2 linked regions of the Macaca fascicularis genome follow. The protein of the gene in region 2 interacts with the protein of the main gene of each other region in a biochemical or structural test. Links are inferred from orthologs where the notes say so. Each region holds a gene or a part of one and is shown on either strand. Other genes may lie near its edges.

Region 1 (6,332 bases), on a different chromosome or scaffold from region 2:
TGCTGCTCACCCATTCACCCCTGCTAGAAACCAGGAGCTGTTATAGTCTCCTTGTCACCCACGTCCGGCTCATTGTTGTGATGCCCACTCATTAGTTTCTAAGTGGGACTATATTAGCAGCAACATCTGTACTTGGCAAAAATCCTTTTGAATTTTAAAATGAATGAAGATGGGAATACACTAGTAGCAATTTGTTTTATGACCCTATAGTTAATGCTTGAAATATGTATTTAGAGTCTTGTTTGTGATTGACTGCTCATTTGGGGAGACAAAGGGGTCTGATTTGATCGGATGTACCTGTGAGAGCCACCTATGGAGCCCCTTTTTTCTCTCCGTGTTTAGCCCTTTTCGTGTACAGCACATGGACCTGTCGAACTCGGTTATAGAAGTGTCCACCCTCCAAGGCATACTGTCTCAGTGTTCCAAGTTGCAGAATCTAAGCCTGGAAGGCCTGCGGCTTTCGGATCCCATTGTCAAGTGAGTGGCAGCCGGAGTGTCGCAAAGGCAGTTGTTTTTATGTGTATGAATTTTTTTCCCTGTATATATATATAACTGGAGTGCCCTTCTAGCCATATCCAGGTGGATACAGAAAATTTCTAGTGCAGGGCTCTTGCTTCTGCAAAACTTTTCAGGACTCATTGAAGCAACAGAAGCTTGAATGCTAACTATATGCCAGGCCCTGTGCTAGTTTCTAGAGATACAAGGATGAACAATGCATGTGTATTATTTGGAAGAAAATGAATGCTCCAAAACTTTTCCCACATTGTTAGTGAATGCTGGTTAAGCTATAGTTTACCTTCTTGCAAGAGGAAACATCGAGCAAGACATGTCTGTTTCCTCTTGCAAGAAGGTAAACTATTTATGAGCAAGACAGATAATTACCATGCTAGTGTGTTTATTAAATATTTCGGTGAATATGTGGCAACACGCGAGGAGCCGCCTTCTTAGAGGAAGGAAGTGACTCTTGAGTATTGAAGATATCTAGGTAAGAGATCTCCAGGTAATAAGATAAAGCAACCAGTCTAGGTAAAGCTTCCTATGTGGTTCTAAACTCTACGTGGTTGGAAGTTACTGGAGCACAGGACTAAGGGAGGGGAATGACAGGAGGTGAGGAGAGTCAGGGACCAGATTGTAATAGGCCCCTGTGCCTTGCTGTAAGAAGAATGGACTCTTCCATCAAGAGGGAAGCATGGGCCAGGTGCGGTGGCTCACACCTGTAACCCCAGCACTTTGGGAGGCTGAGGTGGGCGGATCACCTGAGGTCAGGAGTTTGAGACCAGCCTGGCCAGCGTGGTGAAACCCTGTCTCTACTAAAAATACAAAACTTAGCTGGGTATGGTGGTGCATGCCTATAATCCCAGCTACTCAGGAGACTGAAGCAGGAGAATCACTTGAACCCGGGAGGCGGAGGTTGCCATGAGCTGAGACCACGACACTGCACTCCAGCCTCGGTGACAAGAGCAAAACTCCATCTGAAAAAAAAAAGGAAGCATGGTGGAGAGAGTTGTTCTGAGAGTGGAAGGAACACGTCAAGAGTTGAAATTTAGGAAATGAACTTGCCAGGCACCATGGAGGGTCCATCGAGGATAGAAGAAGCTAGAGTAGTTAAGGATACTGCTGTGTTCATTCAAGTGAGAAATTTTGAAGTCTGATATAAAACAGATAGCAATAATAGCAGCTAATGTTTTGGGGCATGTATTATGTGCCAGATAGTGAATTTTGTAAATGCGTTTTCATTTACTTCTGACAGCAACCCCATGAAGTGTGATCTTACTTGTTTCCTTTTTATAGCTGTGGAAACTGAGACATGGGGAGACTGAATAAGTCTTTTCAGGGTCACACTGTTAGTAGGTGGCTGAACCAAGATGTGAACCTAGTGATATACTATTTCCAGAGTTCTTACTCTTAATCACTAAGTTTTACTAACACAGGGCATTTGGGGATGTAGTAGAGAAGATGGCAAATTTGAGAGATGTATAATCAAAAGAACCTGGTGATTTTACAAGTAGAAGTTTGCAAGCTAATTCTAATTATGGGTGAAATGGATATATGTTTATTCCATTGTGTTTTTAATTCAAAAAGTACATTGATTGATATTCTTGTGTATTTGCTTCATAGTAAGTCTTTTATCACATTATATCATTTAATCTTCTTGATAACCCTACCAAGAAGGTTTGATAATGCCATTTCACAGGTGAGTAAACTGAGGCAAATTATCCTGTTTGATGTCTGAGAGATAGTGATATACATTTTAAACTCACTGACTCAAAGACCTATGAACTTAACTACACTTGCCTGCTTTCATCTACATGTTGTTGATGAATAGCGTCTTATTGGTCTTTTTCTTCTGACGTTTTTCTCTTTTTCCAGTAATCTCGCACAAAACTCAAATTTAGTGCGGCTTAACCTTTCTGGATGTTCTGGATTCTCTGAATTTGCCCTGAAGACTTTGCTAAGCAGCTGTTCCAGGTATGAAAGATGTGACTTGATTATAGACTCTTATATCAAATGTAAAATTATCCCTCACATCTGTATAAAATTGGATGAACTTTTTGAGCTTTTTGTAACTTTCCAGGCTCTTGATTTGGTGAATGCAGCGTCTTTTGTCCTCTAAACTTTCTGTCCAAACTCAGGAGCCGAGTCAATTGAGTTTGCAAGCGATACTTTTTTATCTCTCTTTTGTTTATTTGGAACTATTAAAGAAAGGGAAGTATAGTAGTGTCTGTCAACAGTATATTTGTAAGAAATCAACTCACACTTAACTATACATTCAGGTTTTTTCCCTTATGGTATCTGTAGACCTAACTTACAATTTTTGATCAAATTTTGTGTTTTATAAATATAGACCATAAATTTGGGCAATTCTATTAACAATAGCTTTCATAATAATGTCAGCACATAAAGGGTACAGAGTTACAGATGTTGTTAAGTGAGGGGAATACATGCTTTTTGGAATACACAGTACTATGCATATGTGTGTTTTTAAAAAATATCCCTTGGTCTCCATGGTACATCTGTGTCTTGTTAATGGTCCATTTAAAATAGATTGCCTCCGGATATGAATGATATCAGTGAGATCAAATGTATAGCCCTATATTTAGTCAGCAGTGCCAGAAGTGGGGAGTGGGGATTCATGGTTGTATTTTGTCTCTGAAACCCTCGTTTTTGCTCAGTTAGCAGAGGCACAGTAAGATGAAGTGGCTTTTTGCAATGTCAGCATCTCTTTTGTGCAATCCTTCAATTGTATAAAACATCCTGAGTGATTGTTCAGTCTGTGTTGGGTGGTTGGTAGTCTGAGAAGGCAAACATAAAAGACTAGCATTTCTATCTGCAGTACTGGAATAAGGTTTGAGCCATCAGGAAGAGAGTGCTTCTCTCCATTTCCAGGAGGAGGCAGCATTCACCAAGGCCCTTCTGATCCCCTGGCAACTTTCAGGGGCAAACAGGGTATACTTAGGAGACTAGAGGTAGCTGCTGTTAGAGAAGCAGGTGTTCTATGCATGAAATGATAAGGAATCAATGGCTTTGCATTTTCTTTGTTTGCGGTTTGAGGCAAACTCATTCCTGTGAGTTTTAATTGGTTTCATGGTTTCATATTTTCTTTATTACCCCTCTTTTGTGCAGACTGGATGAGCTGAACCTCTCCTGGTGTTTTGATTTCACTGAAAAGCATGTACAGGTGGCAGTTGCGCATGTGTCAGAGACCATCACCCAGCTGAATCTTAGCGGCTACAGAAAGAACCTCCAGAAATCAGGTTAGAGCTTCCAAGCCTGAACCACTGAGGCCTTCACAACGTAATAGATGAGATTCATTGAGCTTCTCCTAATCGTTCCTCCACATAAGTTTTCTCATTTAATCCAGTGCATGTGTTAGTCCCCTTTTGCAGATGAGGTGGCTGCTAAATCAGAAGGGTTAGGTGAAGGTAAACAGCTAGTGAGCTAGAGCCAAGGTTTGAATTCAGGATCTAACAGTAGAAACCTTTACACTTGAAAACAATTTATTTTTAAGCAGAAAAACTTTTAATCAACTAAATGATTAGATAAACTCCAACATAAAAATACATAAATGTAGCATTTCATTAGTATTAAATAGTGGTTCTTCATTAGTTAATGGGGCTATTTTGTCTGTATGGGGACATTTGTCAATGTCTGGAGACATTTTTTATTGTCACAGCTGTAGGAATGCTGCTGGTCTTCCTTGGGCAGAAGCCAGGATGCTGCTGGACGGTGTATAGGATGGAGCATATTACGCACAATAATCTGGTCCAAACATCAGTTCCAAGGTTGAAAAACTCTGTTATTAACTCTGTTAATAAGTTCATATTTATGACTTTTACTTTTTATTCAGTCCAAGAGGGCAACGAGGTTTTTTAGATGAAAACAGGCCTTAGGAGTCAGGGGTAGCAGGGAACAGTCTTTAAAAACCTTAATATTCAGTTACGCTTTGTTACTGAATGTTAATGAGAAAATCTTGTATGTTACTTGTATGTTAATGAGAAAATCTTGATTTGCAAAGATAAGTGATTACAAATGGCAAGTTTTTTAAATGGCTTCACCGTCGCAGGCCAACATTCAGTTTGTGGGCTATGCAAAACCTAGTTAAACCAGCAACACACATCAACCGTATCTCGATGTTAGTACTAGCTTATTTGAGTGTATTTTGTTTATTATAGTTTTTATTATTCTGAAAAAGATTTGAATCAAACATCTGCAGAATATATCTTAAAATTTAAGTAGTATAAAACTACTTCTCCAGGACAGACGTCCTCTGGTAAGATGTATAAAGCTATAGAAAATAATTGCTAGCCTCTCATGAGTGGGCAGAGATTTGAGTCTTTCACCTGTGCAAGGACTCAAATTTGGACTACTGCCATTCCAAACACTTGCATTTTCAGACAAGGTGAATACTTTCTTTAGCAAGCCGTAAAAGCAGCAATCATGTCTTCATTTCTTACCACTCTCCCCACCCAGTATTTATAATTACTATTTTAAAACTGATCATAGCATTATACAGTCATTTTAAAAAATGCAACATATAGAAAAACGCAAAGGGAAGCAAATTATCAATAATCTAACATCTTGCTAGGCTTTTTCCTGTACAAACACTGTTTTTTTTAAATGGGACATAGTATATTAAATACTTTGTAATATGCTTTTTTCCCCCCAGATAACCCCATTTTCAGTGGCTACATTATGTCATCATCAGTGGCTATGTGATAGTCCATCAAATGGATATGGAATAATTTATATTAAATCAATAACAATTTATGCAGTTGATCTTCTAATGGACATTCAGAATCTTCCCAGTTTTTCTCTACTATAAACAATTTTATGAGTGACAGAGACAAATCTTTGGATGCATTTCTAAGGATGGATTCTTAAAAGTGGAATTGCTGGGTCCAGCATTAGGTACTATTCTCAAGTTTTGGATAATTTCTGCCAAATTTTCCTCCAAGAAGTTTAAACTCCCACCCACGAGCATCCTCTTGGTGTGAAATTCCATCAGTCTTGGTTCTTCTCTGTTTGTCTGCAGGTGAAGGGAAGGCAGTGCCTTGTTTATATTTCTTTCCCACATCTGGATCTTTCACTACTTTACCGAAAGATTTTCTGACATGAACTGAGGCTGTGGGCACAAGGTTGAGAAACTGCTGTAGGCAAAGTGCTGTTGGTTTTGTCCAAGTTTGGCTTAAAACCGTTCCCTTTGTTCCTCCAAGAAAGAGAACAGAGAGCCTGTTTACCGAGTTTTGGCAGAAATAGTAGGTATTAAAATTCTGCTTGCTAGACACATTCAGGACAGAGAGGCAGAATATAAATTGAAGTGTTAGTTTTTTAATTATACAATGGGGATAAAAAAAAGTTTTTAATGTCATTAACAATAGCACACACCATTTCATTATATATGAGATAATATGGATTTGGTTTTAGCTAATAGACTGGTACCAGATGGCCTGGGTTCAAATATCCACTCTGCCATTTACTGGGTAGACTTGAGCAAGTTGCTAAACTTGCCTGTTCCTTAGTTTTCTCAGCAGTAAAATGGAGATAAGTAGACCCCATCTCTTAGAATTACAGGAGAATAAATGAAATAAGATATGTACAGCATGTGGAACATTTCTTGCCACATGGTAAGTGTTCAGTTACTGTTGGCTGTTATTACTGTTCCTTCCCCCACTACCCCCATCACTACTTTTCCATGGAGCAATGGATGAGGCACAGAAACGTTTTGGTCTTGGATTTGACCTTGACTTCTGCTCACCTCTCCTTTGAATTGACGGGTTGGATTATGTGTTTCTAAGATCCCTTCTAGCTCAGGTTGGGTCTACTGTTTGTGG
Region 2 (6,432 bases):
ATGGGCCGGCCTACCTGACGTTCTGCGTGGACACGGGGGTGGGGCCTACCTGACGTTCTGGGTGGACACGAGGGGTGGGGCCTACCTGACGTTCTGGGTGGACACGGGGCGTGGGGCCTACCTGACGTTCTGGGTGGGGTTCCACCTCTCTGAGGGCAGCTCCCCGCTCTGGGGGTCGTCCACCGGTGGATGGAGGATGGAGATGCACACGTCCCCCGTCTGCACAAGGAGAGGACAGGTCAGGACAGGTCAGAGGTCAGCACTGGCTCCCAGAGCCACGGGTCCCGGACAATGAGTACGTGAGGCCCGTGGGGGCCGCGCTCACCTCGTAGATGTTAGGGTGCCACATCTTGGTGAGGAACCGAAAGGCCGGTGGAGAGTACGGGTAGTCGATGGGGAACTTGAGGCGCGCCTGCAGGGGCAGAAGGCGGGTGGCTCAGCCCAGCTCAGCCCCAGGCCCGGCCCCGGCTCACAGGGTGCCCGAGGCCATTCCACTCCTGGTGCTGGTGTGCTGGGGGTAAGGCTCGGGCGTGTGCCTGAGGGTGTGTGTGAGGGACCCGAGGCCATTCCACTCCCGGTGCTGGTGTGCTGGGGGTAAGGCTCGGGCGTGTGCCTGAGGGTGTGTGTGAGGGACCCGAGGCCATTCCACTCCCGGTGCTGGTGTGCTGGGGGTAAGGCTCGGGCGTGTGCCTGAGGGTGTGTGAGGGACACCCTATCCCAGCCAAGGCAGGGACTCTCATGGGCCTGGGGCCAAGTCCCCAGCAGGCTGCCTCAAGCCTTTTCCGAGTCACCTGAGCTGATCCCAGCTCCTACACAGTCCAGGTGGCCGCGGCCTGGCCCAGCACAGCCGCTGGAGAACGCAGGCACTGGCTGCCCGAGTGGCTCCAGGCCTGTGGCAGCCCAGGTCAGGCACATGGGACCCGGGCCAGGGGCACCCACCAGCCGACGGAACGGACTGGCAGGGGCTCCAGGTTCCCCTCGGATGGAGCTGAGGCCCAAGACCAGGCTGCCCCTCCAGGGCCGTGGCAGGCACGGTGTGGGGAGGGTTTGCACAGACGACTGCTCACTCAGCAAACACTGACACCTGCCGGGCCCCGGCCACGGGAGGGGATGAGTCAGCATGGCCGTCTGCCCTCAGGTGTCCAGTCTTGTGGGGTCAGGCAGGCAGACCCACAGGTCACAGAAGCCTGGCAGGACTCCTTCCCTGTCAGCATCGCCCCCTGTGGCCATCCAGGCCCTGGGGGTCCAGGCCTGCTGGCAAGGACGGCCACAGAGGAAGGACTGCAGCCACGTGCCCGGTGACAGAGCTGTCTGGCCTGCGGCCTGGGGCGTGACGCCACCCACGGCCCTCCTGGGCCCCAACAGGTAAACAAGGAAGCCTCACTGTTTCCTTCCTGGGCCCCAGTGCCAGGCACGGGGGTGTCTGGGTCAGGGGTCCTGGTGGCACTCAGCACTCCAAGAGGCTGAGGGCAGCACCCCCAAAGAGCAGTTGTTGGCGAGGTCCTTCCTGGACAGGGAGGGCTCTCAGGGGTCTTGGGGGTGTCCTCTGTTTGACAGGGAACTCACTGGGGCCCCATGAGGTAAGGGACTTGGCCACAGCCACAGAGCAAGGCTGGAACTTCAGGCTCAGAACTGCCCAGCAGTTCCCCAAGACTCCGGGCCCCCCAAGCCTGGTGCTGGGTTTCCAGGCGGCCTCACCTGCACCGAACCCCACCAAGTCCCAACAAACCTCTTATTTTCAGCACCTCCAAACATGTCTTTTACCCGGAGCAAACCCAGGCTCCGAGAAGCAAAGCCCCCGCCGATGGCACACGGCAAGTCCGCCGTGGAGGGCTCTCTCTGGTGGCCCCTGCCCCAGGGCTCGCTCTGGCTCCTGAAGGAACAGCGGCTGCAGGCAGTGGCTGGGCAGCAGCGGTGGCCCTGGGCACTCAGCAGCTCCTGTATTTCCACGCTCCCCCAACTCCCTCCCAGGCACACGGGGAAGGGAGAGCCCCGGTGGGTGGCAGCACCCCCCCGCGTCTCAACGCTGGCCTCTGAGGACTGACCCTGCGGCAGATGTCTAGAGGCCCCCTCCCCAGGAAATCCGGAAAACCGGATTATCCCCTAATGCTGGTCCAGGAGGCTCTGCCCACAATCCCTGGCAACCGGTCTGGTGGGCAGGAGCCAGGAACCCGCATCCCTTCCTTCCAGAACAGCAGCCGCCTCACAGGCCTGGCCTCGAGGTGGGGCCGCCCCTGCTCACAGCCAGCTGCTCCCCCAAGCAGAAAAAAGGGGCTGGGGGAGGGGGCTGCTAAAACCATTTGACAACCTCAAGGCTCAAACTCTGTTCCCTGTGTGGGGACCCACGATTCCAGATGCACAACCCACGGACGTCCCACCCTCTGCCGTAACCCAGAACCTCAGCTCAGGAATCGCCCCCAGCAGACCAGGCTGCTGCCCTCACAGCCGCTGAGCGCGCGCGGTTCAGACATTAATTAGCCCGGAGAGCACACGCTCTGAGAGGCATCGGTCCCTCGGCCCCATGCCCGCAGCTGGCCGGGGCAGAGCAGGCCCGGCTGTGCCCAGGCTCTTGGCAGGCAGCGACAGCGGGAGGGGGGATTCCTGGACAGGGTGCGCGATCCCCACCTCTCACACGGGGCCCCTCACTTTGTCCCTCTGGCCCCAAGGACGAGGTCCTGGAACTCTACAAGAGCCAAAGGTCACGTCTGGATCGTGAGATCAAGAAAACTGGCCAGGCTTTGGCCTGAGTCCTTTCCACACTGGACAGAAACAGTCTCCCTGCTCCCAACGGCAACAAAAACATCAAGAACCTGCTTGGAATGAAACCGCCAGAGGGCAGAAGGAATGGCCCAGAACTCGGGGTTGGGGTCACAGGAAGCCACCTGTTCAGTGGAATCTGAGAAAGGCCAAGGCCAGCTGGGATGAAGCAGCCCGGAGCTTCTGAGGTCGGGGTCCGGGACGCGGGCCGGAGCCGGGGGCCCGGGGAGAGCTGCAGGGAGCAGGTGGGAGGGACGCCCCTGCCTCAGCCTTCCCGAGGGCGCAGGTTACATAAACCCGGGGATGGAGCCCAGGGCGCCTGGCCGGCTGCTATCGGCAAGGGTGGCCGCTTTCCAGGCAGGGCCCGGCTGCCAAGGCTCATCCGGGCCTTTGTTGGAGCCTGAGCGAGTGGCCGCGCCAGCCACCCCCAGGCTGGCCTCGCTCCCCCGCTCACAGGCCCAGCTCCCCAACAATAGCAGCTGCGGGGTCTGGGGGGGGCCTCTTTGTCTCCTCCGGGGAGGGCGGGGAGGGCAGCAGAAAGGCCGGGGCGGCCTGGGCTCCGCTCCCTCTTTCTCGCAAGGGCGGAGGGGGAGGCAGCCGGGGTCGAGCCCCCCCCAGGAAGGAGGTGGGCAAGAGCCCCACGCGCAGATGATACCGGGAGGGCCCCGGGCCACCCTTCTGCGGGCCAGGAGACTACCCGGGGACCGGACGGTGCCTTCAAGGAAACTGAGAATTCTCGGGGACCGCAGCAGAGGCTGAAGGTCCCCGGGACCGTCCGAGGAGGGGGCCGGGCACAGCTGGGTGGGGAGACCCGGCCATAGAAGGGAAGCGAGCCCAAGCCAGGAGGCTGCCGGGCCCGCCCGGGGACCGCGGGGCAGGGAGCTGGTTCCTGGCGCCCGAGGTCGCTCGTGGGCTCAGGGACCCGGGCGGGGGTCGCCGCGCTCACCTTGAAGTAGCCGCCCTCGTAGTAGGTGTTGGGGGGTCCGAAGATGGCCACCTCCCAGTTGTACAGGTCGCCCTCGTCCACCAGGGTCACGCGGAAGCCCTCGACCGGCTCTTCCTGCAGCCCCTTGAGCTCCAGCAGCAGCGCCTTCTGCGAGCTGGGCACTAGCGGCCGGGCCATGGCGGCGGCGGAGGGGCCCGGGGTCGGCGCCGCGCGGGGCCGCGCGACCACCGCGAGCTCGCGAGACGGGCCGGGCCGCGCGCCGTCCGGGGGGGAGCCGCCGGGGCCGCCGCCTGCCTCCTCCTCTGCGCCGCCGCCGCCGCCCGGGGACCCCGAGCGCTCCACCAGCTCTGGCGCCGCCGCCCCACCAGCGCTCGCCTTGGCCCGGCCCGCGCGCCCCGCCCCCCGCTGCGCCTGCGCGCTCCGCCCGGCCCCGACTGCGCCTGCGCGCCGCGGCCAGGCCCGACCTGCGCCTGCGCGCCCGCCCGCGGGGCACGCCGGGAAGTGGAGTCCCGGTCCCGGTTCCGCCTACCGCGCCGAGCGCCGCCGCCGGGAGGGAGGGTTCGAGCGCGCAACCCTGGGCGCTTCCGATCCCCGAGGCCGCCGCCGTCGCCCCCAGCTCGACCAGTACCGCGGACGCTGTGCGCACGGAGGCGGGCAGGGCTGCTCTGGCCGTGGCTGGCCCGGTCCCCCAGCTTTGGGGTCGTTTTGTGACGTCCCGGCGTGGGGCGGGGCTGCGGGCGGTGAACGGGGCGCGGGGCGAGGTCCTGACCGGGGCCGGAGGGGCAGGGCCGGTTCCCCCGGCGCGACCCCGCGTCCGCGCCTCCGTTTCCCCGTCTATACAGGGGACGGGCGCTGAGTCTGTCCTGGGGCGCGCTGGCCTCGCGGAGGGGAGGAGCGGGAGCGAGGCGGGGTGTGCAGACCCGGCTTCCAGGCGCGGCGCTGCCTCGGTTCCCCCGACAGCGGGAGCTCTGAGAAGTGGGCGAGGTCGGGGAGGGCTCTGAGGGCGGGAGGGGGCGAGGGCTTTCCTGGTCCCCCGTTGAAGTCACCATGTGGTGTGAGGCGGGTGCAGGTGCTGGAGCCATCAGAGGTTGGCAAGGTGCTCCTGCCCCCCAGAGAAACTGGGAAAGAGGCTCCCCCCAGCCAGCATCGGCTCAGCACCTGACCCGGGAGAGGCGCCAGCCCCACGGAGCCCCCACCCCAAGCTGAGCCTGAGCCTGGCTGTGCCCTCCTCCCAGCCTGACCTCTGTCCCACCCAAGTCTTTTTTTTGAGACAGTCTCGCCCTGTCGCCCAGGCTGGAGCGCAGTGGCACAATCTCACTGCAGCCTCCACCTCCAGGGTTCAAGGGAGCCTCCTGCCTCAGCCTCCCGAGTAGCTGAGATTCCAGGTGTGCGCCACCACACCCGGCTAATTGTGTCTTTTTAGTAGAGATGGGGTTTCACCATGTTGGCCAGGCTGGTCTCGAACTCCTGACCTTAAGTGTGTTAGGTTTTGGAAGGAAGGGGAGGGTGCAGTTTGGAGTAACAAAGTGATCCGTCTGCCTCGGCCTCCCAAAGTGCTGGGATTACAGGCATGAGCCACCGTGCCCGGCCCCCCAGAGTCTTGACCCCACCTGACTTCTGACCTGGCTGAGTGGCTGCCCAGACACCCGCATGCTCGTTGCCCTGAAGCTTGGTCGGGAGAACTGGCCATGCTGAGGACAGGGCAACCCAGCCTCCCCTGAGTGGTGCCCGTGACTGCGGTGGCCCTGCCCTCGGACTGTGCTGGTGGCATTATTGCTATGTCCTGGGTACACACAGCTGCATCAACAACAGGCGGGGACCAGGGCCACTCCCTCCCACAGGTGCCCCAACACGGTCAATATCTCTCTTCTTCCATACACCCCACATCCCCGGAAGCACTGTGGGTGCGGGAGGTTTTTCTTTTCTTTTTTCTTTTTTCTTTTTTATTTATTTTTTATTTTTTATTTTTTTGAGACAGAGTCTCGCTCTGTCGCCCAGGCTGGAGTGCAGTGGCGCGATCTCGGCTCACTGCAAGCTCCGCCTCCCGGGTTCACGCCATTCTCCTGCCTCAGCCTCCCGAGTAGCTGGGACTACAGGCGCCCACAACCGCGCCCGGCTAATTTTTTGTATTTTTAGTAGAGACGGGGTTTCACCGTGGTCTCGATCTCCTGACCTTGTGATCCGCCCGCCTCGGCCTCCCAAAGTGCTGGGATTACAGGCGTGAGCCACCGCGCCCGGCCCTCTTTTTTATTTTTGAGAAGGAGTCTTGCTCTGTTGCTCAGGCTGGAGTGCAGTGGCACCATCTTGGCTCACTGCAACCTCCGCCTCCTGGGTTCAAGCGATTCTCTTGCCTCAGCCTCTGGAGTAGCTGGGATTACAGGCATGCGCCCGCACGCCTGGCTAATTTTTGTGTATTTAGTAGAGACTGGGTTTCTCCATGTTGGTCAGGCTGGCCTCGAACTCCTGACCTCAGGTGATCCACCCGCCTCGGCCTCCCAAAGTGCTGGGATTACAGGCGTGAGCCACCGCGCCCAGCCTGGGTGGGGGAGATTTTCTTTTCTTTTCTTTTCTTTTGAGACGCAGTCTCGCTCTGTCTCCCAGGCTGGAGTGCAGTGGTGCGATCTCGGCTCACAGCAAACTCTGTCTTCCGGGTTCAAGTGATTCTCCTACCTCAGCCTCCCGAGTAGCTGGGACTACAGGTGCCCATCACCACGCCCAGCTAATTTTTT

The links. The genes of interacting proteins can lie anywhere in the genome.
Region 1: the proteins of CDC34 (region 2) and SKP2 form a complex in vitro, tested with the Homo sapiens proteins (3 studies listed by BioGRID, with this or other methods). The link is inferred for Macaca fascicularis from reciprocal best matches to the Homo sapiens genes CDC34 and SKP2.

The regions. Positions count from the first base shown.
Region 1 is NC_088380.1:36,457,042-36,463,373, forward strand, and holds part of SKP2 (S-phase kinase-associated protein 2), read left to right. Parts: intron 1-342; coding exon 343-477; intron 478-2,370; coding exon 2,371-2,469; intron 2,470-3,624; coding exon 3,625-3,755; intron 3,756-6,332. UniProt on the Homo sapiens protein: Substrate recognition component of a SCF (SKP1-CUL1-F-box protein) E3 ubiquitin-protein ligase complex which mediates the ubiquitination and subsequent proteasomal degradation of target proteins involved in cell cycle progression, signal transduction and transcription.
Region 2 is NC_088393.1:1,083,492-1,089,923, reverse strand, and holds the start of CDC34 (ubiquitin-conjugating enzyme E2 R1), read right to left. Parts: upstream 4,053-6,432; 5' UTR 3,881-4,052; coding exon 3,704-3,880; intron 413-3,703; coding exon 326-412; intron 220-325; coding exon 122-219; intron 1-121. UniProt on the Homo sapiens protein: E2 ubiquitin-conjugating enzyme that accepts ubiquitin from an E1 ubiquitin-activating protein, and catalyzes its covalent attachment to other proteins by an E3 ubiquitin-protein ligase complex. In vitro catalyzes 'Lys-48'-linked polyubiquitination.